Linked DNA regions of Mus musculus: region 2 is reported to be linked to region 1. The links are microRNA targets in miRTarBase. Many come from high-throughput screens and were not tested one by one. Region 1 holds a microRNA gene; the other region holds the end of a gene's coding sequence.

The links. Region 1 holds the annotated microRNA mmu-miR-690 (AAAGGCUAGGCUCACAACCAAA, at 2,077-2,098, opposite strand). A microRNA usually pairs through its seed, bases 2 to 8, with sites in the 3' UTR of a target mRNA and lowers its output. Matches are read on the target gene's strand: a 7mer-m8 pairs with bases 2 to 8, a 7mer-A1 pairs with bases 2 to 7 and ends in A, and an 8mer does both.
Region 2: the mRNA of Fam241b is a reported target of mmu-miR-690. Seed matches in the 3' UTR shown: 7mer-m8 at 1,052-1,058.

What each region holds. Positions count from the first base shown.
Region 1 is chr16:28,597,864-28,601,272 of GRCm38, forward strand. Mir690 (microRNA 690) reads right to left here and starts at 2,180; the gene lies at 2,072-2,180. It also overlaps a transcript of Fgf12 not described here.
Region 2 is chr10:62,106,010-62,109,418 of GRCm38, reverse strand. Fam241b (family with sequence similarity 241, member B) reads left to right here. Exons shown (of 4, transcript NM_027251.4): 4 at 296-1,763. The coding sequence ends at 565. Among named protein-coding and RNA genes, the nearest start is that of Fam241b, 3.3 kb to the left of the region's middle.

The sequences.
Region 1 (3,409 bases):
GGATGTGAGCAATCTTGAAATCACTTGAATTGGTAGAACAGGTTGCCTGTTATCAGAGGAGTGGACCTCTGCCTATCAGATAAAAGTCACAATAAAATAAATGGCCCCATACAGGCTTCTCTGAGAAACGTGAGCTTTTCCTGGACCTGCAGCCCAGTAAAACAGGCAGGAACTGTGCACATTTGCTGATAACCACACTCCATAGCCACATAATCCAGTTTCTTATAATCCAGATAAATTTCCTCCTGGTTCTGCTTATCTGAAGGACCCTGGCTCATAATTATTAATTTTTGTAATATTCATTAGAAAAAGGCTCTACCTTTTGGTCATCTACCAAACACCCAGATTGGATGTACAGCAAATGAATGGGACAAGATCTGTGAAATGCAAAGATACACAAGATAATCAGGGCACAAGGCCATTCAGAATTTAAACAAAGCCCATGTGTCAGCAGTAGCTGTTTGCCAGCATACCAGGCTCTCCCCTCTCATATCTCCTTAGGCTACTTCATCGTATTAGACTAGAGTACAAAAGAACAATGACAAAGTGGACCTCTTCCTTCTTCTCCCAGTCTCTACACTGATGTGTCCCTGAAATAAGGGCTATATCTAGACATTGCTAATGGAAGATCACAGGGAGGGGAGGGGGCTGGCTGGTCCTGTTGAGTGTGGCCTTGGAGCCATTTCACCATCTTAACATTAATGGTGATTACATAGACTAGTCAGACACATGGGACCCTTGTACTTTGATGACCCTTATAAAGTAAACAATTCCATCTTCCTATCATACTATATAATATCAAACCCCCAAAGGGGTACAAAAGTTAGCCTGTCCATTGTGCTTGCATTGGACATGAATAAATCAAATCAAATAAATAAATAAAACAAATATCCACTGTACACTGCACAATAACCACTAACAGGTCTGTAAACCTAAATGTGATGAGTGGCGTGCCCTTACGTCCCTAAGACACAGAGATTGAAGCACAGGGTGCTTTTACACAACTCCACCAGGTCTGCCCTACTTCTATAGTATGGACAAGTCCCTAAACCTGAACTCACAAGTTATTTTGGTAGCTCTCCTTCCATTGGGAAATGGGTCACTTCTTGTCAATGAAAGCAGAAAGTGTAAATTATCAGCAATCTCCATTCAAACAGTAATTCTCTTCAGCTTACCATATATAGGAAAGAAAATACATTAAAATGCCTTAGGCTGAAATTTAAGACCTGAGAGCTTAACTCTAGCTCAGTGGTTCTCAACCCTCCTAATCCCATCACCCTTTAAGGCAGTTCCTTACGTTGTGGTGACCCCCAACCACACAAGTATCTCATGATACTTCATGACTATAACTTTGCTACCATTATGAATCATATGTATCTTATATGCAAAGGCGTCATGACCCACAGGTTGAGAACCACTGCTCTAGCCACATGAATTTGATGACCACCTACTATGCACTGAGGATTGGGTGTGTGCCACTTCAGAAACAAATTTCCAGTCCAGCTCAACTTCCAAAGGATTTCAGATGCAGAACAACCTGGCCAGCATCTCATTATCATGGAAAATAATAGGGGCACTTAACTATGTTATCACCAAACATTTCTCTTGTGGAAATGGTTAGTGGGTGAATGGATACTTATTTTTTAAACAGCTGCAGTTTGGAAAATCTGTTACACAGCAACAAAGAGCTTGTACAACGAGCAGGAGACGCACCGATAAACTAACAGGCATGTCCACATAGTAAAATCAAACTAAGCAATAAAAAGATGATCTATTGTAGACAGAAGGAAGAAAATGTACTGTCTTTCTGACTGTGGGAAACAAAGTCATGTTCTGTAGCCCAGTGACTTGAGCTTGGTCCTGGGAACCCACACGAAGGAAGGGGAGAGCTGATTCCTGAAAAATTGTCCTCTGACCTCCAACTGTGAAGCCTCACACATCTGTGTGCACACAAAATAAAATAAAATGGTTTTGTTGTTGTTGAAGTTCAGATAGCCATTTTTTTTAATCACCTGACAAACCAGGTCATTGAAGAAACGTATTAACATCCTCTTAGGAGAAGAGTGGTTCTTATATTTTGGTTGTGAGCCTAGCCTTTAACAGCTGAGCCATCTCTCCAGCTGGAGGAGAATGTTTCTTACTAGCACTTTAATACAGCCAATTAGCTCCACAAAAACACAAAACAAAACAAAAGAAACACAGAAGAATCAACGTGGCCTTCAGGTTAAGAAAATAAACCACAAATAGAAAACAGTCTTTTGTCTTATAATTTGACAGATAGTTTTTTGTCCACTTCTTCTTACCATAGGCAAGGGATAATCATCACCCAGGCTGCTATTCTACCGACTCCAAACCTTGCACATTTCCCAGCTCTCAGCCTTAGGCTGAAATTTAAGGCCTGAGAGCTTAACTCTAGCTCAGTGGTTCGCAACCCTCCTAATCCCATCACCCTTTAAGACAGTTCCTTACGTTGTGGTGACCCCCAACCACACAAGTATCTCACTGCAAAAAGACTGGCTAGAAAAGAAGAGGAGACGAGTTATGAGTGATTCAGACCTGAGTGATGTCTCATGTCCAGTGTTTCATTTGCAAAGTCTCTGATAAAATGAAAATTATTATTATTATTGTTATTAAAATCTCAATCAAATCCATCAGATATCTCCTTCTTTATATATTTTTTATTATCTATTTTCCTCAATTACATTTCCAATGCTATCCCAAAAGTCCCCCATACCCTCCCTCCTACTCCCCTACCCACCCATTTCCACTTTTTGGCCCTGGCGTTCCCCTGTACTGGGGCATATAAAGTTTGCGTGTCCAATGGGTCTCTCTTTCCAGTGATGGCCAACTAGGCCATCTATTGATACATATGCAGCTAGAGTCAAGAGCTCCGGGGTACTGGTTAGTTCATATTGTTGTTCCACCTACAGGGTTGCAGATCTCTTTAGCTCCTTGGATACTTTCTCAAGCTCCTCCATTGGGGGCCCTGTGATCCATCCAATAGCTGACTGTGAGCATCCACTTCTGTATTTGTCAGACACTGGCATAGCCTCATACGAGACAGCTATATCAGGGTCCTTTCAGCAAACGCTTGCTAGTGTATGCAATGGTGTCATCGTTTGAAGGCTAATTATGGGATGGATCCCTGGATATGACAGTCTTTAGATGGTCCATCCTTTTGTCTCAGCTCCAAACTTTGTCTCTGTAGCTCCTTCCATGGGTGATTGCTTCCAATTCTAAGAAGGGGCAAAGTGTCCACACTTTGGTTTTCCTTCTTCTTGAGTTTCATGTGTTTTGCAAATTGTATCTTATATCTCGGGTATACTAAGTTTCTGGGCTAATATCCACTTATCAGTGAGTACATATCATTTGAGTCCTTTTGTGATTGGGTTACCTCACTCAGGATCTC
Region 2 (3,409 bases), not on the chromosome of region 1:
TCTAGAATGTGGGATGGAGGTGAGATGCTGGCTTCAGTTATGGAGAGAGTGCCAACCTCAGGGTACCTACTCACTGCGTGCTTCTCCCCTCTCCTCTCCTGTCCATCCTGGTCACCTTTTTCCAGGTATGGTTAGGGGAGCACAGGCTCTGAGATTTTGTGCCTTGGTTGGTCCCAGGAAGGAAGCATGGTTATAGGATGGCCATGGGGGGGGGGGCAGCCGGGAGTCTTCTGGTTGGTGCCTCAATTCCAAGGAAACTTCCCCTGGACTCATATGTCTTGTCTTAACCTTCCAGGGCTTTTTCAACAGAGGCCACGGCGCACCTCCAGGGGGCCCTGGACCCCGCCAGCAGCAGGCAGGTGCCCGACTGGGTGCTGCCCAATCTCCTTTCAGTGACCTGAACCGGCAGCTGGTGAACATGGGCTTCCCACAATGGCACCTTGGGAACCACGTGGTGGAACCTGTGACCTCCATCCTCCTGCTCTTCCTGCTTATGATGCTCGGGGTTCGTGGCCTCCTGCTTGTGGGCCTGGTCTACCTGGTGTCTCACCTGAGTCAGCGGTGACCTCCGGGGGACTCATGAGGGCGGGAGTGTTCAGTAGGATTGACTGGACTGGGCTTTGGTGCGACATCATGCACAGGGGGAGGGAGCTTGGGTGGGCTCAGAAGGTGTGATGGGCATGAGACCGGCTTTGTAGATTTTTCTCCCGCTGCAGGAGGCAGAGGGACTCTCTGGGCCAGCATTGCTGAAAAAGAGAGTCCTGTGGTTTCCTGGAATGTTTTTAGGGGGCATAGGGCTTCCGCTAAAAAGCACAAGCAGGAATAAGAAAGGCTTAGTATGTTGTATTCTCCCAGAACACAAATCTTCTACCAGGCGCAAACCCGGAGCTGAGAGCAGCTGGGAACTGTCCAGAGTTTTATAGCAATCCTTCATTTTAATGGTGTCCTTTTTTTATTGGCTGATTTTATGTATAAGGAAGGATATTGACATTCTATTTATCATGATCTTTCCTTTTCTTTGGGTTTTCCAAGACAGAGGAGTCTCACTGTGTAGCCTTGGCTGGCCTGGAACTCACCATGGAGACCAGGTCGGCCTCCAGCTCACAGAGATCCTCCTGTGTCTTCCTCCCAAGTGTTGGGACCAAAGGTGTGTGATACTGTGCCCAGCTATTGTGATATTTTCAATAAATAAATTGGAGTCCCTTTTAAGAAGCCGGTGAATGACTGACTCACGGCTGCCCTGCCTGAAGAAGCTGGTGGGGTGGCTGGGTTTGGAGAAGAGGTGATAGGGCCTTTGACCTTGTGATGTCGGGGATTTTTCTCAGACAGGGTGCTGGGAGGTGAGGTACAGGCTTGGACCCCTTGCCTAGTGCTGTGGGGAGCTCTAGGCACCCCAATACTCTGAACCCCAAGGTCAGCTTTTGGGGTGGGGGTAGAGTCCTTAGGATGACTGGGGGCGGAGTGTGTAAGGAGTGAAAGAATGGAGTGTATTGAATGTCTGAGGTCTGTCTTGCTCAGGGGCTCAACCCAGGGGCTGCTCAGGTTCGTTCGTCCAGCCATCAGCAGCTCTCAGAAGTCCTGGCCATAGTGAGCTCTCCTTAGCAGGTCTCAGGACCAGGGAGCCCTGATTTCCTGACAGGAGACATGGGTTTGGCTGGTGCTCTCTCTCTCTCTCTCTGCAGTCGTGGTTGTCCTAGAACTCACTCTGTAGACTGGCTGGCCTGGAGGTCCCAGCGCCTGGATTAAAGGCATGTGCCACCACCACCCTGCAGATCTTGAATTCGAGTCTTCACCGGAGACTGCCTGAGAGAGGCAGTAGGTGGGTGGCCTTTCAGGTCTGGTGGGCTCAGGGTGATGGCTCCAGGAGAATGAAGCCTGAAGACCCAGCCTGCCTTGGTACCAGCAACCTCCCCCTCCCAGGTCCCTGAGGGTAACTGTGTGTGGCCAGGGGTGGCTGACGACTGCAGATGCTATTCTCTTCTCCTGACCTTGCTCTTCTGATTGAAACAACCTCCCTCAGGCCATGTGCCTGTCCACTGCTCCCTGGGGCTGGGATCCTCTGTCAGGGTGGATCCCTCACCAAAGGTTTCCTGAGTCTTCTGCGCATGACAGGAGGGGACATGGGCGCATTCTTGGTGGAAAAGGAGTGTAGCTGTCAGCTGCTCGCGATCTCAGCTGTTCACAGTGACATCTCACACCCTCGCAGGTCGGCCTGCTCCCTTCCCCAGCCACAATAGACTGCCTGCCCCCATCCTGCTCCCCAGAGCCATCTTGTTTCTCAGGGTCCTCTTTCAGTCTGCGGGACTTGTTTCATGCATGGAATACCTTAAGGGATGCGAATTAGGGTCCTCATGTAACACACTGGAGCGTCACAGTTGAAAGGGGCCTTTGTGGAAACGCAGTCTCCTTTTCTAAAGTCAAAGAGTCCACACCCTGTGAAGAGAATCCATGTGTCATTGAAGACAGTGAGCAGGCTTTCAGGTTCCGAAGAGAGACCCAGAGGCAGCAAGGTCTCACCTGGAAGTGAGCAAGGCGGCCACGGCAGACCTACTGCAGTTAGGACACAGGGCAAAGGGAATTGGGGCTGTGTCCTGACTCTGTGTCCTTGGCCTCTGGGTTCATTGACACTGCTCTGTTTGATTCTTCAACCATAGGTCTGAAAGTGCTAAGACGACCTGATCCAATCCAGGCAGAGGTGCCCGGCCCTGCCCTTGGAAGGGTGGCCTGTGTGGTCCAGGGCTTAGAGAGCCCAGGCTGGCTTTGAATTTGCAATGCTCTTGCTTCAGCCTCCCAAGTAGCAGGGATTATAGGCATGCGATGCTGTGACAGTGCTATTATCATTGTTTTATTATTTGGGGATTGAGCCCAGGGCCTTGGCACGTGCTAGGCACACACACCTCTGAGCTACACCTACAATCCCCTTTCTGACTTTCATTTTATTTACTTTTCATAAGTTGTCCACTCTGGCTTTGAACTCACGCTGTAGTACAAGTGGGCCTTGAACTTAGGAGCCACCTCCCTCAACTTCTCAAGGAAATAGGAATACAAATTTATACCACCTGGGCCAGTTTCTTAGAATTTATGCCAATGTGAACAGACATGAATATTTGAACGTGTAGGTTTTTTTTTCATTTACTATATATACTAATTTATTTTATGTATGAGTGCTCTATCTGTATGTACATGTGCATACCAGAAGAGAGCATCAGATCACATTGCAGATGGTTGTGAGCCACCATGTGGTTGCTGGGAATTGAACTCAGACAGTGCTCCTAACTACTGAACCACCTCTCCAGCACCGAATTTTTCGTTTTTATATATCACAATAAGCTAAACACATTTCCCTTCTTTAGTTCTTGGCTATCTGGGCACATTTTATGGTCAAGAATTTCATTCCATGGGATTTTAG